3 linked regions of the Caenorhabditis elegans genome follow. The protein of the gene in region 1 purifies or fractionates together with the protein of each later gene. This does not show direct contact. Each region holds a gene or a part of one and is shown on either strand. Other genes may lie near its edges.

The links.
Region 2: the proteins of T14B4.3 (region 1) and Y73C8C.4 fractionate together in Caenorhabditis elegans (co-fractionation; one large-scale study listed by BioGRID). This does not show direct contact.
Region 3: the proteins of T14B4.3 (region 1) and Y47G6A.18 fractionate together in Caenorhabditis elegans (co-fractionation; one large-scale study listed by BioGRID). This does not show direct contact.

The regions. Positions count from the first base shown.
Region 1 is NC_003280.10:6,731,643-6,740,324, forward strand, and holds T14B4.3 (VWFA domain-containing protein), read left to right. Parts: upstream 1-3,294; 5' UTR 3,295-3,307; coding exon 3,308-3,344; intron 3,345-3,385; coding exon 3,386-3,517; intron 3,518-3,564; coding exon 3,565-4,187; intron 4,188-4,234; coding exon 4,235-4,333; 3' UTR 4,334-4,468; downstream 4,469-8,682. Other genes in the region: T14B4.9 (Core-2/I-Branching enzyme), read right to left, coding at 842-963, 1,048-1,190, 1,237-1,387, 1,434-1,540, 1,588-1,897, 1,956-2,141; mrps-18.C (28S ribosomal protein S18c, mitochondrial), read left to right, coding at 4,562-4,777, 4,829-4,921, 4,969-5,079; T14B4.1 (tRNA/rRNA methyltransferase SpoU type domain-containing protein), read left to right, coding at 5,265-5,359, 5,469-5,596, 5,640-5,755, 6,087-6,635, 6,691-7,054, 7,098-7,425, 7,475-7,555, 7,600-8,344 and 2 more.
Region 2 is NC_003283.11:3,097,270-3,107,232, reverse strand, and holds Y73C8C.4 (T20D4.11-like domain-containing protein), read left to right. Parts: upstream 1-5,083; coding exon 5,084-5,320; intron 5,321-5,370; coding exon 5,371-5,544; intron 5,545-5,952; coding exon 5,953-6,300; intron 6,301-6,909; coding exon 6,910-7,221; 3' UTR 7,222-7,315; downstream 7,316-9,963. Other genes in the region: str-68 (Seven TM Receptor), read left to right, coding at 1-170, 433-881, 929-1,005; str-69 (Seven TM Receptor), read left to right, coding at 1,323-1,813, 1,877-2,325, 2,373-2,443; str-66 (Seven TM Receptor), read left to right, coding at 2,999-3,486, 3,540-3,988, 4,047-4,105.
Region 3 is NC_003279.8:3,505,810-3,518,082, reverse strand, and holds Y47G6A.18 (Golgi phosphoprotein 3 homolog sauron), read left to right. Parts: upstream 1-5,349; 5' UTR 5,350-5,423; coding exon 5,424-5,468; intron 5,469-6,635; coding exon 6,636-6,896; intron 6,897-7,362; coding exon 7,363-7,791; intron 7,792-8,263; coding exon 8,264-8,371; 3' UTR 8,372-8,383; intron 8,384-9,144; 3' UTR 9,145-9,685; downstream 9,686-12,273. Other genes in the region: pcaf-1 (histone acetyltransferase), read right to left, coding at 1-60, 124-278, 1,056-1,183, 1,238-1,358, 1,415-1,531; Y47G6A.7 (Sugar phosphate transporter domain-containing protein), read right to left, coding at 9,774-9,861, 11,843-12,026.

The sequences.
Region 1 (8,682 bases):
TTGCTGTTAAGCGTGAGAATGAAAATAGGTTCATGTATTAATTTTAGGTCACTTCAAAGAAGAAATCATGAAAAATGAACATGAAATTCGTAAATAACGTGTTCTCAGCATTCTAAAAACTTTTTTTTTGAACTCAATATCGCAATTTCATTTTTTGGTCATTTTCCGAAAGGCAAACATCCGATTTCATTTTTCGGAGCGGAGGACGATTTTGGAGATGTGTAGATTTTTCAAAATTTTTTTGATGAAACCTGATAGAGCACCAAAAAGTACGATGTTTCGTCCAAATTTCAAGTTTCTGCGTTGGGTATGAAGAGTTTTATGAGGAAAATTGGATTTTTCAGAAAACGGTCTGTAACTTGGCTAAACATGAAAATATGAAACAACTTAAAACTGATAAAATGCGTAGAAATATTTTTATGATACAATTCAACAAATAATTTATTTTTTAATTCAATGGATGTCAAGGTATGACTGGTAGAACATAACGGTTCTCAAAAATTTAAGTGAATTTTCGTAAAATGACTTTAACTCTATGTAACTCAACAAATATTGGATATTTTGTAATGAAAGGTAGTTCAAAAGAAAGAAATAATATTTCTAATCATTTTGTTAGTTGAATATTTGTTTTTTAGATGTGTATTTTCCATGATTCGACGTTTCAAGATAAGTAATTTAGCGAATTTAGGAAGTTATATGGTCCGCTGGGCATGATGTACACCTAGAGTCTCACTGCTTTCCCTACACTTCCATTGGTCAAAGTTCTCGAACAAATGTTAAACTAATAGGTAATGAAAAAGCAGTTGAAACTAGTTTTAGAGTGAATGAGAACAGCTCAAACCTTGTGATAAAATCTGTCTTGTTTCCTGTTTCATTCAAGCATATATCAGAAAAATGTCCGGGCATACCAAGGAAATCATTGGCTTGAAATGTTGATATCCATTGTTCATCAACTCCGTACGCCTGAATAATTAGTTTGCAATTTCTCTATTTGAAAGATATTGAATTTATTTTAGAACCAACTCAAATAACATTATATTCTGTTACCCCTTCATTCCATTGATCTAGATACACTCTTGGATTTACTGTCTTCACCATCCATTCTACTGCTGCTCTCGACAATGATCCTTGCACTGATCCTTTGGAAACTCGTAACGTACTGTTCAAGTACGTAGAGTTGAGAGCAGACTCTGAAATATCTTAATTCAGGAGTGTAGAGACTCCTGTAAAACAAACCATCTCGAAATAATCTCAACGTTTTCAAATCCCACTTCAAACTTTCATCTATTCTCCCGAATTCCTTGTCAATATCAATATCGTTGGCACCATCAAGAATCTCAAATATTCTAGATATTTCATAAACTGATTTTCCAACGACGTCATGATTCTAAAAACATTGCATTTTTACAATTATTAATAAAAGTTTTCCCCACTTGCATCAGTATAAAATAATCCCAATCCGGTAATTTTACCATCTTCTCCATGCATTTGTAGTGTGCTAAATTCATATTATGACCCGCTGAATCTATTCGAAGTTCTTCTGAAACTCTAGTTAATTTAAATTATACATATATTCAATCAGTATACCATCTATTACAAATACATTTGGAAGACATCTACCAAGTCTCCTAATTCTCCATTTAAAATCATCTTTGCTTTTTGAATCAATGAAAAAGCAAAATATATTCTGTGGATGATATGACATTTGTACTTGTTTCTCCAAAAATTCATAGTCTTTATAGACAACTCGTGCAAATACAACACCAATTTTCAACGGCCTCAAATGAAAATTGAATGGAATAATTCGATTTTGAATTGAATAACATGACATATCTAAACTCTCCAAATTTGAGCTCAGGGGTATTCGATGCTCACCAATAAACTTTTCGATATAAGACTGAAATTTTATGTTTTTGGGTTATTTTTTAAACATTTAAATATTTAAAATTACTAACTCTATCATTTGCCAAAATTCTTCCACAATCCAAATGAGCTGTCTCTTTGCGTCTCCATAATATATTAGTTTCCTTTGAAGTCCAAAAACTCATTGTTATTCTAGGTGCCATTGAAAAGATCACAATTGTACAAACAAGCATTGTGAGTAATAAGAAGAAGAAGGTCCTGGAGTATTTGGAGCACATTTTGGAGAAAACGGAAAAGAATGGATGACAGATGGAAATGAAAAGAGAAAGAATGAAGAACCAGAGCAGACATTGGAAAGAATCCAAACATTTCATTCATTTCAAAACATTTACATCCACTTGGGTCTCACACTTTCTTTTTTTGATCTTCAAAAGTTGAGGGTTCTTGAGGGTTATAAATTAGTATTCAAATATTTATTTTTGTTTGTTAAAATTGTTTTTTTTTGTTGTTTGATCGAGAAAAGTACAGTCATATTTACAGATGGTAATTTGTTTAAATGGATACCTTCGCATTGCAGAAAACAAACTAAACAATTACCGTTTTTGAATTCTGGAAAAAATAAAAAATTGCTCTCATTTTCCTATTTGTGAAGGCATTATTCCTTGTTTAAAGTTACATTTTTCATAAATCTATTTGTAATATTTAGAATCGAGGAAATAGTTTTGAATCTTCTCATCTTTTATCTATCTATCAAATTGGTAGTTACCAGTAAATCGAATAGCCTTGAACTATAAAACTGGTAATTCTTAATAAGGAAACTAAAAGGTATTCATCCTTATATTTATCTAAGATTTTACTTCCCTCCGTTTAATTCAATTTTTTTCAAAAAGTCACCTTTTCAATAGCCGCATCAATTGTGCAATAGGTTCAACAGACAATATAGTTTGATTGGATAACAATTTGTACCGGAACAAACTGAGAAGATAACCCTATCATATTGGATTGACCCACCCTTTTTATCAACAAGCAAGTGAAGGAAATTTATTGCATGTTCGTTTTGAAGGAAAATATTCATTGCTACAAGTTATTTTTATCACAATCAGTGAATAAAATTAAAAAAAGATATGTATTAATTTTTTAAGCAAAAATATACTTCAAAATTCAATTTCATTATCATTTCTGCGCGCGGAACCAAAAAATTTGACAGTTTTCTTCAAAACCCAATAAATATCTGCCTTTAATATTTTTGTATACATAGATGAAAACTTTATCAATAAAAGTTTTGGCAAAAAAATACAGTAACCAATGCTGATGAAATCAACTTCCACGGAGTTTCAAGTTCTCTTGGTTTGTGGTGTCTCAACGAGAAAAGCAAACGCGCTCCATTGTTACAGAAAAATTGTGAGTTTTTTATTTCTCATTTTTGCTTCTTTTCAAGCCAAAAATGCGAAGTTTTATATGGATTTTATCATTTTTACAAGGTAATTTCTTATTTATTTTTTGCAAAAAACTTCAATTTCAGTTTGCCTTGCCGGGCGTCTTCAAATCATTTTGCCAAACGACCACATACTTGATTCGAGAAATTCGTCTTTCGATTCAGTTTCATTATTAAATTTCAACAAGAATGCTTTTGGACTTGGTGCTGCAGTTGGAGGTAGGTAACATTTTATTAATATAAAATGTTTTATTGCCTTATTTCAGCTCATCAGGCGATCGGCGATGAAAAATTGTTCCAAAAACCGAAGGCGTTGTTGATAATCGTTATTGACGGACTGGAAAACTTTGATTATGACGGACATGCTTTCAATTTTACGGATAAATTCCAGCCAAATCAAATTCAAGAACATTTCAAACAACAGTTTGGTGATGATATGATTCACGCCGAAGTAAACTCCTCTGGAATATTTGGATCATCGTTGTTTAAAAGAAATACTGAGGGAAACCATGCTAATTACGATACTTATAAGGAGGATCTTCAAAATATGTATCGACTTTCGGATGCAATCATGGAGAAAGATCGAAAAAATGCCAATGTTGTTGACTACTACCGTGTTCACCTTGACGTCTCCAATGCGCGAACAGATATGGAAAGAAAACAATTGGCAGAAAATATCAAGCGAGGTATTGATACATTACAAGATGCTATCAAGAACAGTTATGGCGGGAATGTGGTGGCTGAAATCTATACTCACGAGAAGCCTGATAGAGATGAGAAGGCTAGAATTAAGCTGTTACAAAAAGTATTGCAAGTGACTCAAGCTAGATATATCGATTATCCGGCAAGTGCGGCCATTATGATGTTTGTGGGATTCTCCCTTGTCTTCGTAAGTCCCATGTTAATTCATTCTTTCTAATAAAAAATTAACTTCAGGCGGCAGTTGCGATGTTGTGGTTGATGTTTGATGAAAGTGATATGGCCAAGAAAACGATCCTGGTTCGACTATCGATGGGTAGACAGAAGAAAGATTAGAATTAGATTTATAAATGATTGTAAAAACTGTATTTTCATAATTTATTTCGCTTTACGGCTTTACGGTTCTTTTTTTTGCATTTTTGACTAATCGCTTTCCGGTATTTGTTGCCATGTCATAAAGACTTCAGCTTTATGCATTTGAAACACTATCAGTGTATCAGGTTCTAAACCTTAAGATATCTCATTTTTAAATTTATCAATGCAATCCAACAGTATCAATTCAGAATGCTAAAATCGGCGTCATCGTTGGTGCGAAGTTTCATAAGGCCGCAGACATTCAGGTTATGTAGCTCCAGTTCAACCACGCAGGGATCTCCTTCGGTTAGCTCTGACGATGAGCCCGTAATTTTGGAGAATAATCCATACACAAAAGAGCCACGGAAGTGCCTCTTGTGCTCAACTGGTGTTGAACTCGATTACAAAAATTCGAGACTTTTGCAGGTACGAAATGTTTTAAACTGGAGCTCGGTAAAATCCAATTCTTTTTTTCAGCAATTTGTTTCCACATTCTCTGGGCGTGTATACGATCGTCACATCACTGGACTTTGCGACGAGAACAAGAAGAAGCTGATTGAAGCAATCGCGGTATGATGAACTGGAATAGAGTTAGATAAACGATATTCTTTATTCAGAAATCGCGTCGTGCCGGGTTCATGCCAATCTTCGTAAAGGATCCAAAGTACACCAGAGACCCGAAATTGTTCGACCCGCTCAAACCAATTCGACCACATTCGTTTGCTTAAAATATTTTGTTTTTTTAAAATTACTATTACTGTTTGTTTTTATTTTTAGAATATAAAATTTTCTCTAGACAATCTGTTTCTGTGAATAGTCATCAAGTTAGTGGATACTCCTGCCCACTTTAATACCGCTGGTGATACTAATTAGTAAAATTTTATTTTACTTAAAATTCAACTATTTTTAGATTATGGGCGATGCTGAGAGCGAAATTCAAATTCGCGCATATTGGAATCGACGAGCTGAAAATGTCGATGGAGATGAAAGTGTGGCTGACTTTCTAGCGTAAGCATGAATTAAAAATGTTTTATATATCCTAACTGTTTCGATATTTCAAAAATTATTTACCTCGGGTCTGCCTGATTACTCCTAAAATTAACTATTTATATCCCAGGTATCTTCGAATCGTGGATCAAAACGAATTTCAAATTGCCCTCCCAACTCTGTGCATTGTAGCTGCCAAAGATATCACGGATTCGAGAAAGAAGGAATTCGAAGGAATTTGTGCTGATGTGTTATTAGGTTTGCAATTCAATCAATATTATTAAACATATTTTGATTACAGACGCCGAGTCTTCAAGGCCGTCTCGACGAGCAGTTATTGCATGTCTGAAGGAATTTTGCTCTGGTTCTGCATGGACAGATTTTTACACTTTGGTAGAAGCTCTTGAGGAGCCCCAGGTACCACTCAAACGCGGCAAAAATACGAAAAAAAAATGTTTCATATGAGTAAAAGTGTGAAAAAGTACTGCAGTTTCCAACTCTCATTTCTGCGGAATTTTTTATCGATTTTGCATTGCATAGTTTTTGGATAATAAAAAAAGCTCAAATAGAAACACATAAATTATAAGCAAATCACGGGAAACTTTTTTTCGAAATCGATGAAAACTCCGCAGAAACAAAACGTTTTAAATTACAGTACTTTTTAAAGGCGCTTATCGTGTCGAGACCTGGTATCGCATTTTCGGCGGAAAGCTTGTTTGCGATGTAATTACAATTGGTTTTTTTACAGTTTCACATCATTCGTCCAGTGTTACCTCGATTCGACACGCTTCTGAATTCGGTTCGTGATGGAAAACTCAATTTCCAATGGTTGAAAGTTGCTTTATTCCGAGCTATGCTTCATACAAATGGATGGATTCGAGTTTGGGCGATTGAGAAAAGTATTTCAATTGATGCATCGATTCTAAAGGATAATGATCATGTGATTACATCACTCATCATACCGAATCTCAATAATAATGACGTCTTCTGGAGAAACTTGGAAAAAGGACGAATGGATGCATTTCTGATTCAACTTGGTTCAATGTTCAATTCAATCAGAGAAACCCCAGATTTCATCCGAAATCTATTGGTTTCTATTGAATTAATGTCCTGTCCGACTGCAATTTTCTTTGTTGTATCCGCTCTCAGATCAATTGCCAAAACTGAAATTCTGAACTCTGACGATGTTCCATTATTGAGAAGAGTTGTTTTGAAAGCGAGATATATTCCACACAAGTCGATAAGAATAATTACGATTCGCAATTTGATAGTTTTTTATGCAAAAATTACGAGATTGGTAAGTTTTATTAATATTTTGGAAAATTTCAAAATGTTCTTAACCTTTTATTCAGGATGGAACCCTTCTCCACGAGCTTTCAAATCTAATATCCTACATTTCACAAGATGCCACATCTATAATGATAGATGCCGTGTTCAAAGAAATTCAAAATATTCTCGATGAAACATCATACATTGCAAATGAAAACCAGGACGAAAATGTTTTCCATCAAACTTTTGGAAATGATTCCAAAAATTTAGGATTGCATGCAAAAATGTGGTGGATTTCAATGGGAAAAGCAACCATTCAGAAGGAAAGAATGCTGTCAAGACTTCAATTAGAAGTTTCTGAATTATTAGGAGAGAAGCCTACTGCTGATTTGACATCTCAATTGTTTTTACTCAAGGAACGGCCGGAAAATATGGATTTCAGTAGTGGTAATTTCGTTTAAAATAAATATTATTTATGATTTTTTTTCAGATGTTCTTGAATGTATGAAAAACGATCTAGGTGAATACATTCTCACGCAGATTATATCAAACAAAGGTTCCAAACGAGAGCTGGAGCTACTACAATCGCTTCACATTCCACTTTTCAATAAGTACTGTTCCCACCTGAGCATACCATTTGCTCTAGCAGTTGTTCAAGTATTAGGAGATTTGAAAACATGCGAATCAGCTACAGTATGCCTCACATTCTTCAACGCTCTTGTCGAAAATGTTCCAGAAGAGCGCTACGAAACATTGGCAATTGAGTTTTACAAGTATCTCGGAGGAAATGAAGTTATCGGAATGAAAAGGATGAAAAAGTAAGTATTCAAAATGAAATCGAAGAAAATCATATTTTTTAAATTATAGATCGGTAGAGGAATATGAAACAAAGGAGTTCAATCAGATTTCTGCAACACTTCATTCTCTTCGATTGTCCCTGCTCAATAAGTATGTTGATGCTCTGAAATTGAAACTGATTAAAAAAATTATAGATTTATAAAAGATGTTGACGAAAATCAATTTCTTTCTGAATGTGTGGAACAACTTGATGTGGCTTCAGCTTTCCCAGTTAAACAACAATTATGCCTACTAATTGCAAGATTTATCAAGAAATGTACAGATCACAAGTTGGCTCTGGATTGTATTCGAGCATCTGCAAGCATTGTGAATGAGGAGAAAAAGTCACTGAACAGTCTTCCAGCTCTTCGATCATTTTTCCATGTGGCTCTGAGTGGCCCTCAAAGTGATCCAGTTATTGCTCAAGAATCAATCGAATTATTGGAAGCTCAGTTAGCAGTTGCCAGCCAAAGTACTCCGATTGCTCTGATTCTTGTAGATGCCATTACAAAGTATCAAACAAATTTAGATGTAAATTGGGCGCCATTTATTGTGAAGCTTGCTTTATTTGGGCCTGTTCCGAAGAAAGAATCAAGAGTTATTTCATACGCATATTCTATGATTTTCGAAGAAGAAGGCTCATATTTAAAGAAGGATCAAGTTGAGAGACTCGATGAAGTCGTTCAAACAGCAAGATTCAAAGCTGTTTTGTTAGCATTAAAATTATCAACGGTAGTTGATGGCAACGCCTGGCGAATCGCACTAATTGAAGAGATCTTTAAAGCATCCGCCATCATGGATCAAAGTTCAAGCCGATCGTTTGGTCTATCAATGGCTCATCGACAGAAGACGAGGGCAGTAGAATTGCTGCATTTATTGGCTCTGAAAATTGAAGATCAAGTACGTTTTTCTTTTACTTCTCAAAAAAATAATCTCAATTTTCAGGAATCTGCTTCGAAAGTTTTTGATTTCTGCATCAATTGTGTCGTGGATCCATGCCAACAATTTTCGATCAAATTAATTGTTGAATGGACATTGGCGATGCTCTGCGTTAAATTTGAAAAGTTATTCGAAAAACTCATCGATGAAGAGTTTGAGGTATTTTTTGAATTTTATTCTTTTGGAAACCACCAATTTCCAGAAAAATATGGCTTCCCAAAGAATTGGCTCAATTTGCTCATGGCTCAATGTCCTAAATTTAATCGCTCGCGTGGCACCGAAATTTGTAGATTCATGTC
Region 2 (9,963 bases), on another chromosome or scaffold:
GTTCAGTTTGTGTACCGATATCTATGCTTGTTCAAGGCACAGAAAATCAAAAAGTTTGAAGGTGTGAGAAGTATATTTTGGCTGATTTACCCTATGTTGCCTGGAGTATGCTACACAGTTGCCATGAACTTTCTGTGCGCAGCTGATGACTACGCAGATGATTATGTCAGGTAAAGTCGAGATGTATCCAAATGCATAATGCGGCGCGCAACCCCGAAAGTGTCGGCCGCTCCAAATAACTACCTTCCGCGCTTCATTGCACACACACAGCCGTGCGCGGCGTTAACATGAGGCCAGCGTGGCGCCCTGCATCACGACTCTACCCGATCCTTCTGGCGGCGCGGAACCCAAATTGCACTATTCTGTTCAATAACTGAACTTTTGTTTTTACATCAATATGGAAGCACCATATATATATATATACATTTTCAGAGGGCTGGTGTCTGAAAGATACTCTATGGAAATCTCAAACCTACCAAGATTCCCCATGCTTCCGTACGCTGCCGATGGATCGTTACGGTGGAAAAGTCTAGTCTACCTTCCGATTTGCATTTTCCTAATCGGAATTCACTACATTATCATCATATATTGCTGTCTCAGAATGCATTTTAGCATGAAAAAGGAGCTCGCCAAGTTCTCAACTCAAAACCAGAAGCTCCAGCGGCAATTCTTCCACGCGCTCATCGTGCAGACCCTTGGACCAACCATTTTCCTAGTGATACCTGCCTCACCAATTCTTGTGCTCCCGTTGCTGGCTCCAATGTTTGGGTTTGATATCGACTTGCAAACGGGGAACCTTTTTGCATTTGTTGGATTCTACCCACCATTTGATAGTATTGCTTTTATGATCATTGTCAAGGAGTATGTTAAAGTGATTAAAAGTTTGTGATTAGTCAGTTTGAAATTGTCGAAAAATAGGTGGTTTCAGAACACGTGCTATGTGGATTGGGAACTGACAACCAAGTGTCCGCCGTTGAAGCTTTCACCCAGAATGTGCAATCATAAAGTCTCGAAATTTGATTAATCTGTAATAATGTAATACTTCATTATTTGCACATAGTTTTGTTAATAAAGTTTTAGCTCTTTCATTGCATGCCAAGAATTTTAGTAGTTCAAAATTTCCTTTCAGACTAGTGAAGCATCCGCCATAAAGTCTAATATTATATTGTCTGCGACCATAAAATTTATATTTTTCTGAGAATACAAAAACAGAACTTTCCAATTTCCGCTGTCCACATACAGTAGTGCTAATTTATTATATCGTGTTGAGAAGCCTTTCAGGCTATAACTATTACTTTTTCACTTCCTTGCATAGTTTGAAAATGTCGGCTCTGACACTGTTTGAACTATCCCATGTATTCACAATTGTTGAGTTCTTTGCCAGCACTTTTACCAATCTCATTCTAATATTTCTCACTGCTTTTTACGTGAAAAATTTGTTCGGAACCTACAAACGAATGGTCATTTATTTTTCAACGCTTGGAATTGTATTTTCAGCATTAGAAATTACCGCAAAACCGTTTTCTCACAACTATAACGGTTCTCTACTATATTTCAGTACAAGCGAGTTGCCTGAAACTTTTGTATCTTTATTAATGTCATCTTGGAGCGCGTTTTATATAATTGTAGTTGCATTTATAGCAGTACAATTTGTCTATAGATATCTTTGTTTGACTAACTACAATGCAACAAAAAAATTTGATGGCGTCAAAACTGTTTTTTGGATAATTTATCCCTTAGTGCCAGGGGCATTCTACACTATTTCCATGAATTTTCTGTGTGCAGCCGATGAATATTCCGATAGTTACGTACAGTGAGTGGCTTCTCTGAAAATAATCTTATACCATGTTATCTGCAAGTTCATCTTATTTTTCAGAGCTACAATAAGTAAAAATTACGGGCTCGAGGTGTCAAAGTTGCCAAGATACTCTATGATCGCATTTTCTGCCGATGGATCCTTACGGTGGAATACAGTTATATATTTGATCATAGGAATTTCTTCAATAAGTTTTCACTATTTTATCATTATAGTGTGCTGCTACAAAATGCACATCTCCATGAAAATAGAACTGGCAAAGTTTTCCGTCAAAAACCAGACGCTTCACCGTCAATTTTTCAAAGCGCTCATCGTACAAATAATCGGTCCAACTATTTTTCTGATCATTCCGACCATCCCAATTTTCTTCGCACCGTTGCTCTCGCCTATTCTCAAAATTGATGTCGACTGGCAGACGGGCAACTTATTTGCCCTTGTTGGCTTTAATGCTCCATTTGACAGTATTGCATTTATGTTAATTGTTTCAGAATATAAAACAATCGTTAAACGTTAGTTTCGGAAGTATAATGTATATCATGATATTCAAATGTTTCAGAGAAATTGTGCGGCGTTTCGGTGGTTTCGGTGGTTTCAACAGCAATAGTTACTCAGCCAGTGCTTTTTTGAGCTGAATTTGATGTTTCGAGAATAATAAATTGTATAACTAATTCAATTGAATAAATACACTTTTAGATAACTTTTTCTTGAAAGTTTAAATCTTAATCCACTATTACAAAAGTTTTAAAATCTATATTACGAGCTCTCACTGTGTAAGAGGCGTATAGCAGAGTCTATGACGTCATTCAAAAAATACACCCTATTTTTTGTGGGTCGTTCAGGAATTATATATAGTTACTGACAACCTAGAAAACATAAAACATGGTTAGTCGTATTAGTTTCAGACGCACGCGTTATAATTTCGGTTTGTCGACTATACCAAACAACACGGGTCTCGGTTCACCAATTGTTCTGATTTCCTTTCAATTTTTATACCGAAATCGCATTGGGCAAATATATCAAGTTGGTAGACATTTCTTTCCAATAGATTATGTTATGATAGTTTAGAAGTCTGTGCTCTAATTTCCCTATGTTGATTATGTTCAAATCCGCGTGACGTAAACATGCCTCTTCTGTAAGATACTCCCGCCTAATATCTTCTTTTGAACATCACAACTGCTCGTAATGTTCATGTTCAAGTTATTTGGCTTTTTCACAGCGTTTGGATTCTTTTCTGGATGCATCGCGAACTCCCTCTTCATCTTCATCACAATTAAATATATTAAAAACATATCAGTACCATATAAACGAATGATCGTTGTCTTCGCTGCCCTGGGACTCATGTTTTCGGGCTTTGAAGCTATTTCAAAACCATTCACCCACAACTACAATGGTACGCTATTGTACTTCAGCGCTACCAATTTTCAATTACCAATTAATATCAGCAATGCCTTCATAACGGTGTGGTCGTGCTTTTATCTAACAACTTTCTCATTTATATCCGTCCTGTTCATATACAGATATTTATGCTTATTTGACAGTTCAAAAACCAGGTTTTTTGAAGGATTCAAAGGCGGCTTATGGATGTTGTATCCTTTACTACCAGGAATTTGCTATGCTAGCACTATAAAGTATTTATGTGCACCTAATGATTATACAGATGAATATGTCAGGTAAATAGTACCATCTTGAACGTTCGGCAAATTTCAAGTAGTGCATTTTCCAGAGACTCTGTAGCAGAGAATTATGGATTAAATGTATCTGAACTCGCTAGGTTCTCATTAACACCTTATAATTCTGATGGCTCTGTTATACATACTAGTATAATATTCCTTTTGATCGCATCATCTCTCATCAATTTTCATTTCTCCATCATCATATTCTGCAGTCTAAAAATGCATTTCAACATGAAGAAGGAATTGGAAAAGTTCTCTGTCCAGAACCAAAATTTACAACGGCAATACTTCATTGCACTTGTCATACAGGCGTTAGTACCAACAATGTTTCTGATAACACCTGCCGTGCCAATCTTGATAGCTCCATTTTTGGCACCAATCGTTGGAATTGAAGTGGATTGGCAGTCTGGGAACCTGTATTCGCTTGTTGGATTTTATCCGCCGTGTGATTGTATTTCAGTCGCACTAGTTGTTTCCGAGTATAGAAATATTATTAAAAGTTAGTTTGAAACGTTTAGTAAATTTGGCGGTTTACTGGTAAATTAATTTTATTTCAGATAAAATATCAATGTGTTGTAAGAACAATGCACAAGTCTCCGTGATAAATTCACTTTGAGAAACTCCAGTTTGAGGAGAACACAAATTTATTGGTAGTGGAAGAATTCAAAATGCTTTAAATGTATTAAATTCACTTAACATTCGTGATATACATAAATAAAAACTGTAAAATAATGAATTAATTACATTTAGAGTAACATCGAATAAAGATTACTTAATCAAATGTGGAACATAATAAAAGGGAGTTTAGTTTAGGTACACTTACTATGATCTAATATACACCCCTCAAACGGGCATTTAACAACAAAAAAAAATAGTTAATGATGACTAATAGAACAGAAAACCCAATTTCAAGTACTTCTATTGAAGTTGGATTGTGGAGATGAAATTTTGACGGACTTTGATAGAAAATGGAACAACTACCGGAAGAACAATAATTCCACAAGCGGCATAACTAATTCTAATGAAAAAAGTGCTGGTGAAGAATAAATATTATATATTAAAGATTATTGCATCTTTTTTTAAATCAACTATTCTCTTCATAGTTGCCTGCATCACTATAGTTTGAGTAATAAATATTTGTCGTATTTTTCTGACAAAAATTCAATAACTATTACAGATAAACTCCATCGATTAATTTTCCGTAAACCATGATTTTTTGTGATCTTTTTCTAGTTTACAGCATTTGCAAACAAGTACATACGTAATTTTTTTCTCAACTCATATATTGCATAAACCTGTCTAACGAGAATTATATTTTTGTTTTGTATCTTCTTGAGACCATCTCAATCGCTTGAAGTTCATCTAAAAAACTTCACGTTTTTTGAAAAAAATTTACTGTGATATTTGATCATTTTGGCGTCATAGAAGTGGTTATTCCGACAACGGAAAAATGTGTGAAGTAACTATTTGGTCAGAAAGAACATAGGCAGATCACTCTCTTTTCGATGAAGTATGGATTAGTGTGGATCATTCAGATTAAACTACAGAGAGTATAATATATTTCCATGTAACAGTTTTGGTTCATTATTTAGACATGAGGTTGTCTATTTGCTGGGTGATTCCATTGTTCACATGTTTCAACTATATCGAATCCAAGTCCACAAAATTGAATTCGTCTTTAAACGTTTGCACACAAAGTGAGAAAGCTGAGATAAATGCGAAGTGCACCCCTTATGTGAACAATTTGATGAATTTAACGAATGAATATTCAAACATTCAAGTTACATCAGAGATCGCAAAAAATATCAATACAACTTGCAACAAGATACCGGTAGGTTCTTTGTATATTTGTATTCATTTATGTTTTATGTTACATTCCAGACATGTTTTGGTCAATTCAATTGCACGGAAGCTCAAAAAAACAAAGAAACTTACGAGAGAAAATGCGAAAAAATTGAATTCACATATTATGAAATGATGGATTGTGTTTCGAAAATATACGCATTGTATTACCGCGGAGACTACTTCTGTAGCTTTGGCATAAATTTTTTGACGGTAAGACAAGTAAAATTTAATTAACGGTACTTGTGTATTACATGCCCTCATCGAAAAATTACAAAAAAATCCACGAGAATCGATGATTAATGTGAAAAAACAAATTTAAAAAAAATGTTTTCCCGCCTTTTGTGTGCAGTAAAGCTATGGGCCAACCTGACACCACGTGATCAGTAGGTATTTTGTTTTGCATAATATAACATAGGTAACCAATTTTGAAAATAATATTATATTTTAAAAATAATTATTCCAACTTTAAAAAAACATTTTATAAGGCGGGATTACTTTTGAAATACCTTCCAACATCACTGTGCGGTCATTCCAAAAGGATTCAGTCTTTAATTTATTTTTATTTTAGCAAAATTTGAAAAAAAAAAGTCCGTAAAACTAAGAAACAAACATTTTCAGAAAGATCCGGACAGTCGTCGTAAATCATATGTCAGTGGAGAAGAATGTGTTAAAGGAATTGCTTTAAGAACAAAATGCGACAAAAAAGCATTGGAATATCTAGATTCATATTACGAAAGATTTGTGGATATTATGAGTACTAAACACCACGGCCATTCTTTGTTCCATGAGTTGGTATCAAAACGGTGTGATCCTGTGAAGGACAAAATGAATGAAGAAATAATTGTTTTGAAAAGCGAAATGAAGTCCTCAATAGAACTGACGACTCATGAAAAAACCACAGAAGCATGGCGAACCTTTGAGAAGAAACGCTGGTCCAAGCCGACGTCAGTCTGTGATGAGTTGAAGGTTAGATTTAATGTTAGAACAAAATAGTTGGGACAATAATGCCTTTAGAAATGTTGCTTTGATTGATAAAATATAGTTTAGCTTAGGGCTTCCCGCTGAGTGAAGTGCAAAATGCGAGCCACGAGCCGGCTTCACGCCTACGTCGCGCGCCGCTGTGTGTGTGCAGCGAAGTGCGAAAGGTGGTTATTTGGAAGCGGCCGACACGTTCGCGGTTCCTCGCCGCACTATACATGTGGCGTGGTAGATGCGGTGAAACCGGCGCGGCGACCGCTGAGGCAGGCGAAGGCGCCGACCTCATGGGAGCCCAGTTAAAGTTTGGCAACATGCATTTTCAATTTTTCGCTGATTTTTGCGTCAGTTTAAAATAAGTATAATTCAAAAATGGGAGTTTTAGAAATAAATTCATAAAACAACTTATCTGGCATACTATTGCTTGTAATGTTGTCGAAATTGTTTGAAAACTCCGAATTTCATAATGGAACCTTCTGAAAACTTTTTTTAAAAGATGGGGACTCAAAAAATGACCTAAAATTAAAATTTGAAATTTGCCCGACTTGTATGCGTAAAGATAAATCCATTTCTAAAATATTTCACATAAATACGTTTCAGACCTGCATGAAAAGCTCTTACTTTTCTGAAGACCGCACCAACGAAACCGTCGAACTTTGCAATGTGATGTATGAAGACGTATTCAATCTCTGCTTAAATGAAGTAAGAACCCGGGAAGACGCGAAAACTTTTCCGTGTTTCATTGATGAAAAATTTCATGATCCACAGAATAATACAGAACTCCTAAAAAACAAGGAATGCATACAATACGTCATGACTGGCATGTGTGGAGATGGAATTTTGACGAATTTCGATATCAATTGGGACAATTATCAAAAGAACACCAATTCAACGGAAGGCAATTTAATTTAAATAATTTTGCAAAATAAACATTCTACATTTTTGAATACCGTATCTTTGTATTTATTTATTTTTTGAAAGTCTAGTACACTGGTAGATTTAGACTGATTAAAAATGTGTCGTGTTTTCTAAAAAACTTGTTGTAGACTTGGACTGCATTTTCTAACGTTATTTCAAAAAAACCTATTTCGAGAATTAAGATTTCATATATAAATTTTATAGAACTTACTGTTTTCTTTAACTACTCAGGATATTTTGAAAAAAATGTTGCAACCCAAATATATAACCTTATTTTTTATTTTTATCCCAAATAAGTATGCTTCAAGGCAATTCAAATTCCGCATTACTCAAAATTTTAAATAAAACACTTGAATTTTTTGAAATTTAGGAAATTTACAAGAGACACGTGCTCGCCGGCTGTCCTTTTGCAATTAAACAAATAGATTAAAATAAAAACAAAAAAAAAAGACGAAAAAATAGATTGACAGACGAAAAATAGATTGACAGACGAAAAATAGATTGACAGACGAAAAATAGATTGGCAGACGAGAAATAGATTGGCAGACGAAAAAATAGATTGACAGACGAAAAAATAGATTAACAGACGAAAAAATAGATTCACAGACGAAAAATAGATTGGCAGACGAAAAAATAGATTGACAGACGAAAAATAGATTGGCAGACGAAAAAATAGATTGACAGACGAAAAAATAGATTGACAGACGAAAAATAGATTGGCAGACGAAAAATAGATTGACAGACGAAAAATAGATTGACCGACGAAAAATAGATTGGCAGACGAAGAAAATAGATTGGCAGACGAAAAATAGATTGACAGACGAAAAATAGATTGACAGACGAAAAATAGATTGACAGACGAAAAATAGATTGACAGAAGAAAAATAGATTGACAGACGAAAAAATAGATTGACAGACGAAAAATAGATTGGCAGACGAAAAATAGATTGACAGACGAAAAATAGATTGACAGACGAAAAATAGATTGACAGACGAAAAATAGATTGACAGACGAAAATAGATTGACAGACGAAAAATAGATTGACATACAAAAAAAAATAGAATGACAGACGAAAAATAGATTGACAGACGAAAAATAGATTGACTTACGAAAAATAGATTGACAGACGAAAAAATAGAAAAATAGATTCCCCCTTCCTACACGCTTTGCCCCGTTTGCCGTTTGACACCGGAAAAATGTGTTATGTATTGTTCAGAAAGAACTTCTATGAAATATGGATTAGTGTGGATCATTCAGATTAAACTACAGAGAGTATAATATATTTCCATGTAACAGTTTTGGTTCATTATTTAGACATGAGGTTGTCTATTTGCTGGGTGATTCCATTGTTCACATGTTTCAACTATATCGAATCCAAGTCCACAAAATTGAATTCGTCTTTAAACGTTTGCACACAAAGTGAGAAAGCTGAGATAAATGCGAAGTGCACCCCTTATGTGAACAATTTGATGAATTTAACGAATGAATATTCAAACATTCAAGTTACATCAGAGATCGCAAAAAATATCAATACAACTTGCAACAAGATACCGGTAGGTTCTTTGTATATTTGTATTCATTTATGTTTTATGTTACATTTCAGACATGTTTTGGTCAATTCAATTGCACCGAGGCTCAAAAAAACAAAGAAACTTACGAAAGGCAATGTGAGAGAATTGAATTCACGTACTATGAAATGATGGATTGTGTTTCGAAAATGTACAAAGTGTTTTACCGCAGAAGCAACTACTGTATCTATCACTTGGATTTTTTAAGGGTAAAACAGTCATTGTTTTTCATTCGTGATTTTTTTGTTTTGCATAATAGAAAATAGGCCGTAATGACTGAAAGTAACTATAAAAATATTTAAAAAGGTGGAATTATTTTTGAATTACCTCCCAAATTAATGATGTCATTTTCAAAATTTTTGTAATGCCGGAAAACGCAAAAATGACGTCACTCAATTTCGAGGTCAATCGAAAACAATTTTGACGTTTTATTTGCGTAGAATTGAAAAAAAAAATCAATAAAATTAAGAAACAAACATTTTCAGAGAGATCCGGAAGATCGCCGTAATGCATACGTCCGTGGAAAAGAATGTGTTAAAGAAATTGCTTTAGGAATAAAATGTGACGAGGAAGCATTGGAATATCTAGATTCACAATATGAAAGATTTGTGGATATTATGAGCACTAAACACCACGGCCATAAAAACGATTCTTTGTTCCATGAATTGGTATCAAAACGGTGTGATCCTGTGAAGGACAAAATGAATGAAGAAATAATTGTTTTGAAAAGCGAAATGAAGTCCTCAATAGAACTGACGACTCATGAAAAAACCACAGAAGCATGGCGAACCTTTGAGAAGAAACGCTGGTCCAAGCCGAAATGTTGTTTTGATTGATAAAATTTATTTCTTCGAAAACCTGTATTCAGTTCAAATTCAAACATAATATGTACAACTACAACACTATTTTTATCTCAGCTTATATTTTTGGAAATAAATTCATTTCTAAAATAACGTAACCGGATTTTGAAACCATTCGAGTTTCACAAAAAAACCTTTCAGACCTGCATGGAGACCTCTTACTTTTCTGAAGACCACACCAACAAAACCGTCGAACTTTGCAATGTGATGTATGAAGACGCTTTCAATCTCTGCTTAAATGAAGTAAAACCTCGGGAAGACGCGAATAGTTTTCCGTGTTTCATTGATGGTAGGTTTCATAATCCAC
Region 3 (12,273 bases), on another chromosome or scaffold:
TTCCAGTGGTTCATTTCAGTTAGAAAAAGCGTTCCAATTTCGGCTAATCGTTGTTTTTCGCTGAAAATCTCGGGGTTTTTTTTTATTTATATAACTTTTTTTTTATTTAAAAAATTATCCTACGCATTATCAACTGGTCGGGATGCGATAAACTTCTTCACAAGAATATATGGGCTTAGGGATTCCGGTTCAAAATTTGGTTTTCCGATAAAAGGCACATCGACGGGCGTTAGTGTGCGAAGGGATTTCAGGAGAATTTGCATTGTGATGTATAGCGTCTGAAAAATATAATTTGTTTAACTTTTAAAAGTGGACTACGCTCAATGGGGAAATTGTTTTAAAACACGTCTATGGGGCCACATTGACCGAATATTTCATGATAAAAAATTCAAAAAAATTTTCTAGATTTTATATGATTTTTTGAAAATTGGAAAAATCACAGTTTTCACCTAATTATTTTTGAATTTCCGCCAATTGAATTTGTTCGGTGGAGCGTGCTTGCATTATTTTTATTTATTCTCGTTATTCGACTGATTTTCTTCATTTTCTATGTTTTTTCCTCGGAAAATGAAAGAAATAAACAAGTCAAATGCAGAATGTTTGTTAAAAAGTAATTGAAAATGAGTAAAACTGTGAAATATACTAATTTCAGGCTTGTTGCCGTCGGAACTCAGAATATCAGTTTTACGCATTTTCAATTAGTTTTTAACAAAAATGTTGCATTTGTCTTGTTTATTTCTTCCATTTTCCGAGGAAAAAACATAGAAAATGAAGAAAATCAGTCAAATAACGAGAATAAATAAAATTAATAAATAAAAATAATGCAAGCACGCTCCAACGAACAAATTCAATTGGCGGAAATTCAAAAATAATTAGGTGAAAACTGCGATTTTTCCAATTTTCAAAAAATCATATAAAATCTAGAAAAATTTTTTGAATTTTTTTATCATGAAATATTCGGCCAATGTGGCCCCATAGGCGTGTTTTAAAGCAATTTACCCACTGAGCGTAGTCCACCTTTAAATTTAAAATTAAAATTTTTAATTCAAAATAACCTGAAGAGATTCATGAGAAGGATCGATTTCTGAAAGTTCAGAGCAACAGGTTTGAAGGTCGGAAATTTGATCCGTATACGTGTCCAGATCCTCTTGTGACAAATATTTTAGTGGCTCCGCATGAAAAGCTGCAAATTTTTAAGGTTTAAATTGAGTTTTAATGAGATTTTCAGCCAATTTACATATAGAATGACCACACGTTCGGCATTCGATTATCTCCTCGCTTCCCAAAGTTTCCAGATCCCTAGTCATCGGTGCAAAATCATTTTCTCTTTCTGCTCGTGTTGCTCGCCGTTCGACAGTCTGAAAAAGCAGAAAAATTGGTTTTATCGGGGAAAAAATTCAGATTAAACACCAACCTCATCTTCGTGATTCAAAACAGGCCGGAAACCACGGCATTGGCATGTTCCGGCGTTGCAAGACGTGAAATATGTTAATTGTCGTCGTTTTTCATCCAGAGAGTCGCGTTGTTTCATTTTTTTTTATTTCGTTGGTTTTCAGTAGAAATTGAAATTAGAAAAAAATTGGAATAAAAACAGTTTTTTTGAATGCAAAATGTGTGCAAACACCATCACGGTAGAATGCACAGAAACGCATTCGCGCTCTACCGCACAATTTGATGTGGATTTTTGATTTATTTTTTTTTCTTCTTTTTTCAGATTTAAATATTTCTAAGCTGAAAATCTCAAATTTCCTTTGTTTTTTTTTCAATGTTTTATGTTTTCTGTTTGAAAAATTAAAAATCACCCTTATAAAAGTTAATTTAAGGTTCTTTAGCACTATCTTTGCTTTTTTTGGCAGTTTCTTTCAATATTTCGATTTGGCTTTGCTTTTCCTTTTTTCTGAATTCCAGACACTTGCGATAACGTTAGCTTGAAGTCGTTTTAGAAAAATCTTTTTTTTTTAATTTTAAAAAATTGCAACTATTTCCGATTCTTTGTAGAAAACACCTGACGAATTGAGATTGTATCGCCAATTTTTTTTTGTTATTTGCATTCCTCTTCCGATTGCGCTAATCTGACCAGGTTGCTTGCACTTTCTCCGTTAACATCTGTTTTCCAATTTTATTGAATTCTTATAGAATCTGTTTTTCTTCTCTATAAGCAGTCTGTACAGTTTACTTTGGAAAAAAATCGATTTTTGTTTGGATTGTCGTCTAAAACTTGAAATCCTCAATAAAATTTGCGTGAAAATAAGAAATTTTGTTTGAAAATGCCGACTTTGAAGTGCTTTGCACAGTTTTTCAAGCATCATTGAGAAGTTGGAAAAAATTTTTTAATAATAAAAATCGAGGATTTTTCGCCATATTTTTTCTTTCGAAACCCTGCAGGTATGTTGTTCTACCTACAACAAGTCCCCCTTTTTCTTTCCTATCAAAGAAAAAAGCCTAAAAATCAAAATTTTCAAATATAAGTACTGTGAGACCGAGATGTTTGCCTTTTTAGATAAGAATAACGAAACGTCATACATTTAATATTGTGACTCGCAACACAATAACTTTATGGATTTTATGAAAAAAATATATATAGTAAGCCGGAATCCACAGAAAAAATTGCAAAAAAAGTGAAAAGTCCAAAAAAAAGCCTCCAAAATGAGAACGCCCTGAACAATCAGCGCCTTCGAGCTGCTCTGATTGGTCCAAAAGTGGGCGAATTGTAAAATAACTTAGAGTTTGTGGGTATTTTGGTTAAATAGACTAAAACTGGTCCAAAACCACCGAAATCCTTAATGAGACTTCACAAAAAATTTCCAAAAATTTTTTATGGCCGGTCAAAATTTCGAAAAAAAAGAGCCAAATTTTGCTAAAATCTGAAATTTCGCACATTTTTCTTTGTCACAGCCGCTGGATTTTAGTTTTTCTGAAATTATCATCCTTTAATCCTTCTTTTGGTAATTTATCTCGCGGAAATTCGTTGATTGAGACAACTTTTAGGCCGATAGGCATCCAATTTTTATCATTTTTGGATGCCTATAGGTCTAAAAATTGTCTCAATCAACCAATTTCCGCGAGATAATCTACCAAAATAAGGATTAAAGGATGATAATTTCAGAAAAAACTAAAGTCCAGCGGCTGTGACAAAGAAAAGCCAGCGAAATTTCAGATTTTAGCAAAATTTGACTCTTTTTTTTTTCGAAATTTTGACCCGCCATAAAAGTTGTTTGAAAATTTTTTGTGAAGTCTCATTATGAAATTCGGTAATTTTAGACCAGTTTTAGTCTATTTAAACAAAATACTCACAAACTCTACTCCCCCTTTAGAAGTTGGATTTTTCATTCTTTTCGTTTTTCTTTTAAAGTTTTGCTAAATTTGAGACTATTTCAGATTTTTTGAATCTTTTTAAAAATATTCCGGCTACTTCACCTTTGAATAACGAGATAACTAGAAGCCAAAATCACATTATTCTATTATTTCACTCAGAACGTTCACTTCTTTATGCGCACAGAAAATTCACGGCAAAGTATGTCGCCGTCGTCCGTCCGTCCGCTTCGTCACCATCCTTCTCTCTCCTCCGGCGGTCTCCATCATCCGGCTCGTCCCTTCTGTGTCTCTGTGGTCTCTTCACTCTCTCTGTCCCCAACGCCACGTTTCTTCTCTCGCGTCTCTCCACACTTCTCGCCTCTCCTGGTATTTTCAATCGAAACGCTCTTCTCCCGATACTAGCTTTCGCCCGTGCGTCGCTGTCGATTCATTACATTTATTCCAATGATTTGATGTTTTTTGAATCTACAAGAAATTAAATTTTCGAGCTTTTCCGAGTAATCTCTCGAGTTCCAATCAATTATCACCCCTGCTCTTCCTTCTTCCATTTTCCATGATAAAGCTTCACAGCAACGCCCTCTGATAAGCATCTATAAACTGTACAAACCTTTTTTTAAGTACCCAGTTCTCCAGTATTAATATAATTTTGGCTGTTTTTTTTTGTGGAAATGTTGGTGGCAGTTAAAGCTTTGGAGAGCAGCCCCAGAAAAAAGCTGACCAAACAATGGCTCTTTCCCTGCTCACATGGAAAAGCTTGCTCGCTTGTGATGTAATATTTCGTTTTTAGGCGATAACAACTGTTTTATAATTTCCCTTCCGAAATTGTTGTATTAGTTGGAGTTTGCCGACCAGTAATTCTGTAAAATACACCTTTCCTTAGATTTTTTCTTAAAATTTATTGTCTGAAAATTGTTTTTATTTGGCTTGAAACATTAGGAAAAACGTTCGAAAAATGCCTGAAAGTTGGAGACTGCTAGAAACAAATTTCGGCAATTTTCAACTTTCAGACAATTTTTGAAAGTTTTTCCAAATTTTTCGCGTAAAATGAACGCATTTCATCGGATATTTTCCTTTAAGTTTTGTGATACAATGTAGAAAAACATTTTATTTATCTGGAAATAGCCTTTCATAAAAAAATTTCACAATTTCCCAAAAAATTTTCCAAATTTTCCAAATGTTTCGAGCAAAATAAAAGGCTATTTCCAGACAAATAAAATGTTTTTCTACATTTTATCACTAAATTTAAAGGGAAATATCCGATAAAATGCGTTCATTTTACTTGAAACCTTTGGAAAAACTTTCTGAAAGTTGAAAATTGCCTATTTTTCCGGCATTTTTCAACGTTCATGCAATTTTTGAGCTTTTTTTCAATTGTTCCAACTGATATGAAAACTATTTCCAGATGAAGCAAATTTTTATATTTCGATATTAGACTCATACAATTAAAAAAAAAATTTATTTTCTGTAAAACCTCCATAATTTTGAATATTAGTGCTGAAAATTTACTAAATCGGCAATAAATCGGTTAAAAAATATTTCTGAAACACTGAAATTTTTATTTAAATAACGATTAAAGCTCTTCGCGGCTGCCTTTCCGGAGACTAAAAAAATTGAATTTCGATTAAATCCAGTTTAAACTTCTAAAAATCGAATATCAAGCTAGATACTCATAATTTATTCCCAAAAAACACCCATTTACACCTCTTCCTCTTCCACTCCATCCGGTTTTGCGCATCATCTTCATTTGTCTCAAAAGTTTATCACTGCCAACGATCTTTTCATCTGCTGGAGGCTCCACTTTCAGACTGGTTCTTCTAGATTTAATCTACAACACAGCTTATGCTTCTCTCACTAGCCGATTTTGAATGTTTTTGGCAATTGCTAATAGGGAGAAGCAAAATGCATGGAATCTTGATTTGGAAACGAATTTTGAAATTCAACATTTAATTTACCCGAAATTTGCAACTTTTTAACGTGAAACCGAATTTTTTGAGCGAAATTTTTGTCAAATTGAAGAAATTATTGCCATTTCAGAAGTTGAGGAACGACTCGCCCAGTTAGTTGCCGACGTGTTTTTTGGATAGAATTTAATACTGTAATAATCGGATATGTCGGACGGTCAGCTGGTCCAGAGACGCAGAAAGGCTGAAGAGGTAGGATGATTTTACAGAGTTCAATGGAAAAACACGAGAGATAAAAAAAACTGAAAAAGATGAAATTTTCAACTTAAATTACCTCTGTGTAATGTTTAAATTAAACGATTAATCCGTGAATTTTGCAGAAACAGCGTCGCACGGAAAAATAAGCGGAGCTTAATTTCGCAACCCTGCGGCGCGGTTTTTTCAATTTTTCAAACAAAAAAATTCGATTGAAAATATTATCGAATTTAGTTCTCATAAGACTATGAGGATATTTTTGGTTGTAAAAACATTTTTCTTCAGGAAAAGTAAGATAAAACGAACAAAATTAAAAAAAAAACCGTGCCGCAGTGTTGCGAAATTACGCTCCGCCTCTTTTTCTGTGCGACGATGTTTTTGCAAAAAAGAGTTTTCAAGAAAAAACTAATTAAAAATCAATAAAATTTCCAGCCAGTCACTGAAAAGTTGAAATTTTCAACTCAAATTTCCTCTGTGTACTGTTAAAATTAAACGATTAATCGGAAAAAGAGGTGGAGCTTAATTTCGCAACCCTGCGGCGCGGTTTTCCTGTTTTCGTATATTTTTCACGCTTTTTTTTTCAATTTTTTCAAACAAATAAATTCGAATGAAAATATTATAGAATTTTTTCCGAATAAATAGAATAAGCAAAATCGAAAAAAACCGTTCCGCAGCAGGGGTGTGCGGCAAATCTCAAAATTTGCCGAGCTCGGCAAATTCGGCAAATTTGCCGTGCTTAACAAACTCGGAAAAATTATATATTTTTTGATATTTTTTGGAGCACCAAAACTACTGAATTCTTAACACACCTCTGGTTTCTGAACAAGTTAGGTGTAGTGTGTCTGCTTAAACATCAAAATAACTCAATTTGTTATCATTTTACTAAATTTTTGGCGAAAAAATCAACAGTTTTAGTCAAAATTGTACTGTCAAATTTTTGACGTGTGCGGCAAATTTCGAAATTTGCCGAGCTCGGCAAATTCGGCAAATCTACTTTTTTGAAATTTGCCGTGCTCGGCAAATTCGGCAAATTTGCCGCACACCCCTGTTCCGCAGTGTTGCTAAATTACGCCCCGCCTCTTATTCTGTGCGGCGATGTTTTTTTCTGCAAAATTCACAGAATGATATTTCAGTTAACTAATTCAAAATCAATCCAATTTTCAGCCAGTCACCGAAAAAGTCGACGAAGCGAGCGGCGATTCAGCACAATCTTCGGATCAAGAAGACAATGACAAGGGAACCCGATTGACTTTGATGGAGCAAATCCTGTTGCTCGGCCTTAAAGACCGTGAAGGTTACACATCGTTTTGGAATGATTGCATTTCGTCGGGGCTCCGAGGATGTGTGCTCATCGAGCTTGTGCTCCGTGGACGAATTCAACTCGAGGGAGGCGGAATGAGACGCAAGAATTTGCTTAATAGAAAGGTAGTTTCAGATATAAATATTGATTACGGGAGCACAGGCTTCTGAGAATGCGTATTGTGCAACATATTTGACGCGCAAAATATCTCGTAGCGAAAACTACAGTAATTCTTTAATTCTGTTACTGTAGCGCTTGTGTCGATTTACGGGATCTCGATTTTCGAAATTTGTTATAGCTTTTTTCGAATATTGACAACAATATTCTATTTTCCTTTTTATTTTAAAGTCGAGCCCGTAAATCGACACAAGAGCTACAGTAGTCATTTAAAGAATTACTGTAGTTTTCGCTACGAGATATTTTGCGCGTCAAATATGTTGTGCAATACGCATTCTCAGAATTTTGTGGTCGCGTAATATCAATAAGAACCATCTTATCCGCCGAAAAGAAATTTTTCGAATTCAATTGAAAAAGAAAGTTTTATAGTATTATATTTCGTCCCGTGCATCGCACAAACAAACAATATTACAGGTGACTGTGAAAAGCAGCGAGCCAACTGGTGACGTCATTCTCGACGAGGCACTTCGCCATATGAAGGAGACAAACCCGCCGGAGACAGTGACCAGCTGGATTGAATATTTGTCTGGAGAAACGTGGAATCCGCTGAAACTTCGCTACCAACTGAGAAATGTTCGTGAACGACTCGCCAAGAATCTTGTTGAAAAGGGTGTTCTGACGACTGATAAGCAAAATTTCTTGCTTTTTGAAATTACGACGCATCCACTTTCGGACGGAAATCAGAAGACGAAATTGATTAAAGAAGTGCAAGAAGCGGTTCTGGGGAAATGGACGAATGATGTTCATCGTATGGATAAGAAAATGCTCTCGTTGATTGTATTGGCTCATGCTAGTGATGTTCTTGAAAATGCGTTTGCACCGCTTTCTGATCAAGATTATGAGGTAAAACAAATGCTGGAAATCCTGTTTTTTTCTGGAAAATTGGCGCATTTTGAGCCAAAAAATGTGCCTCTTTGAAGATAACTGTAATTTTAAAAATTTTTTTGCTTTAGAATTTTCATCAATTTGTTTCAATTTTTTTTTAAATTATCACATTTTTCCTTTTAAGTTTTTATTGAAAATTATTTTTAATAGAAAACTAAATTCGGAAGCAACGAATATTTATAACTACAGTACTCTTTGGCAAAGATGTGTCGTGTCGAGACCACTACTGTATTTTTAGAACAAAAATCACGAAATTTCGATTCTGTATAATATTGAGAACGATTGAAATTAAATTATTTGCAGAAAAAATTGCAAAAAAAGTTGTATGAAATCAAATTTTGCAAACGCGCTCCATTGAGCTTCCCAGGGCTTAATTGAAATGCTGACATTTCTCGCCAATTTTCAGAAAAATCAATTATAAAAATTCCAGGTTGCAATGAAACGAGTGCGTAGTCTGCTCGATCTTGATTACGACCAGCAAGCCGAAAAGAAGGGAAACGACGTGATGTGGGCTGTTTTTGAGGCGTTCAGCAAGTAGAATCCACAACCAGTGAGTCGGGAAAAAATTGAGCTTTTTTTTTGTCTTTGTGCACTTCAGCTTTAGCAGATTTTTTTTGAGCTAAGCGCTGAAAACGTGAAGTACTAACAGAGCAGGGGCGGCAAACGATTATTTCCGGCAAATCGGCAAATTGCCGAGATATTTTTTCGGCAAATTGTGGTTTTGCACTTTTTTTGTTGGAAGTTAAATTTTATCGGCGAAAAACGGGAAAAAAATTCCAAAAACGCACCGTTTTAAGAGTTTCCGTCTTTAAAAAAATTCCTCAAAACATTTCCGGCAAATCTGATATCCGGCAAACTCGGCAAACTGGTAAATTGTCAGAATTGAAAATTTCCGGCAAACCGGCAATTTTCCGGAATTGAAAATTTCTGGAAAAAAGCCATTTGGCGATTTTTCCGAAAAAAAAACATTTCTGGCAAAACTGGTAAGCGGCAATCTGGCAAATTGTCAGAATTGAAAATTTCGGCAACCAATTTGCCGAAAATAAAAATTTCCGGCAAACCGGCAAATCGCCAGATTTGAAAATTTCTGGCTAATCGGCAAACCGGCAATTTGCCGATTTTGCCAAAATCATTTCCGGCAAATCGGCAAACCGGCCAACTGGCAAAGTGCCAGAATTGAAAATTCCGGCAACCATTTTGCCGAAAATAAAAATTTCCGGCAAATCGGCAAACCGGCAATTGCCGCCCACCCCTGCGACAGAGATCATTTTACTTTCAAAAAATTTTAATATAAAAAATATTTGTTTCCAGGTCACCAATGCGTGTACGTGCAATCTGTAATCAAGTCTAAACCGGTACCATCAATTCTCTTCCCTCCCGCGTATTTATTGTATGTGCTCTTTCTCTTCCATCTGTTTCCATAGCTTTTCGTCTCTCGATTTCCTATTTCTTCCTAACATACACCATATTCTATTCTATTCCAATCAATGTGTGATACCATATACCGTTTCTTTTTTCTTTTTTTTTTTTGGGATTTCTTTGTTTCTTCTCTATGTTTTTTGTACATAAGCGGGAAATGCTCTCTTCATGTTTTTTTTTCTTTCTTTTTTTGGGATCAACGCTTTCTGCAGGTTAATGGTCGCTTGTGTGTTTCCTCTTCCTGAAATTTCCCTTTTTTTCTCGAAAATTCGTTTTTAAATATGTATTGGTTTTCTGTGATAAATTCTCATCCATCCCCCTTTTCTTTTTTCATGACCAGCAGTAGTAATGATTTAGATTTGTTTTCCTTCATCATCCTAAATTACACATATAGTAGATGTATTGAAAAAAATTGATAAAAATTTATCGTGGGACCCGAGATGAGACAAATGAACAGAACAACCAAGAGAAAATGGAAAGAATTGATTAAGAGAAAAAAAAACGAAAATTATTAACTTATTTTAAGCGTCTGGATCTTCTGTTGCGAGCAACTTTCGAGAATCGTCACTTCTTGTGGACGTTGAGGAAGTTGGAAGAGGGCGATGGGCTCTGGAATTTTTGAAAAAAATATTGAAAATTTAGGTTTTTTCTTTTGTTGGGTAAACACGGAATGCACAACGATTACCGTGATTAGGAGAAGACGGGAAACAGACAAAAATTTGAATTTGGCGGGATTTGAAAACGTGCTCTATTGAGAATCCTGGGGAGGCTCAATGGAGCGCGCTTGCAACACGGTTTCGACAAGAAAATATGATTTTCGATAGAGCGCGTTTGCAAACAACTACTTTTCGATGTTTCTGAATAATTTCTTTTTTAATAGCGTATTTTGTACAGAAAAAGGATAACTCTTCAATTTTATCGATTTTTTACAAATTATCGATAAAAATGAAGTTGATTGGTTCTTGGATCTTAATCGATTAAAAAACGAAAAAAAAAAAGTTTTTCTGCGAAGTTTTATCGAATTTTCTGTTGTCTACTATGCGTATTGCGCAACGTATTTGACGCGCAAAATATCTCGTAGCGAAAACTACAGTAATTCTTTAAATGACTACTGTAGCTCTTGTGTCCATTTACGGGCTTGGCTTCTTAAACGAATTTCTGTTCGAATAGTGACATCAAATTTTTTATCGATTATGTAATAAAGAAGGCTTTCCGTAAATCGACACAAGCGCTACAGTAGTTATTTGAAGAATTACTGTAGTTTTCGCTACAAGATATTTTGCGCGTCAAATATGTTGCGCAATACGCATTCTCAGAATTCAGTGTCCCCTTAATAAGCCCGCTCTATTGAAAATTTAAAATTATTGATTAAATCAAGCTTTCGTGCCGTGGCAGTGAGAATTGTTTGTGTAATTAGAACTAAATTAATTTCTAAAAACTGAAAATTTTCCTGTTGCTCATTCAATGCCATTCAGTTAACCATCACTTCACAAACCGACACTACGATGCTCCGATATGCCGCCTGTGCCCTTGGCGGGATAAATGAGCATCGTTGAAACTATTCTATAAATTCGACAATAGGCGATAGAATCAGAAGGGAAAAGAAGCAGACAAAGGACAAAAACAGAAGGAAACGACAATTTTACATTTACGTCTTGTTTCTTACGTTGGAAATTATAATCAAACTGTTTTCGAAAGAAGCGAGTACTGATGGTCAGTGTCGGCAGATATACGACTCAGCCTGTACAGATAGAGTTAAGTATGCAGGAAGATAAAAAATAATGGGTCTTGACACGAAAATAAAAAGCTTAAAAATCGATAATTCGAGGCGATCTTACGCTTTTCCAGATTTGAGCGTAAGATGTCTAAGTATTACTGGATCACAAAATTCTGAGAATGCGTATTGTACAACATATTTGACGCTCAAAATATCTCGTAGCGAAAACGTCAGTACTTCTTTAAATGACTACTGTAGCTCTTGTGGCGATTTACGGGATCTCGGAGTTTCTTTTCAAATATTCTAGTCATTTAAAGAATTCCTGTAGTTTTCGCTACGAGATATTTTGCGCGTCAAATATGTTTTGCAATACGCATTCTCAAAATTTTGTGTTCCCATAATACGGTGGAAACCGAAATTTTGGGAGAAGTGAATTCACGAGAATCATGCGCCGAAAATCTTTGTCTAAATAAATCTTTTCATGAAAACTTTCATTAAAAACCTTTTTTCCCGGTTTTTACTAAAATTAATTTTTAAAAAATTTAATAGGGGAAAAATGTGCGGCGCACTTGCAAAACCTTTTTAAAAATTAGGCTCCACCTCTTTGCAAAGAAATTTTGCAATGCCGCTGCACGCTTTTTTCCAGTCATTTTTAAGTTTAATTTTTGCTTTTTTTTTTGTCCATTTCGGTGGAAACCATGAAGGAAAACTTGGAAATGGCAAAATTTTGAACAAAAAAAATCAAAAGAAAAAAGTGTGCGTCGTACTTGCAAAAAAGGAGGAGCCTATTTTCAAATTCACCCGAAATTTCGGTTCCCCTGAATCCAAGTATCCAATCCGAAACTAATTCACAATTCGAATATTCTGTCTTACCTCTGATGTCGTTTGTTCATTCCGTGTAAAAGCATTCCAGACAAACAAAGAACTAAACCACAAATATTCAGTTCCGTTAGTGTGTCCTTGTTCACGATATGTGCCAATAAGAGTGTCGCAACTTCTTTCACAATTCCGAAAATGTTTAGCGTGATTCCAGAAGTGTTCACGAGAAGCAGGTATTCTGGAAAAAAAAGGGGTATTAGAAAAAAATCCAATTTCATTTCAGGCGGCGTGGACCGCGACGCAACACGCTTCGCACAAGGTAGGCGGATGTTTTGCGCCAAAATCTAGGTTCGACCAAAATAATTGAAAACGTTTGAATTCCATTTTGATAAAACTCTCCATCAAAATACCCCTGGGCTGAAATTTTTGGAGAAATGACAAATTTACATGGGTTTATTACGGGAACACAATATTTTGAGAATGCG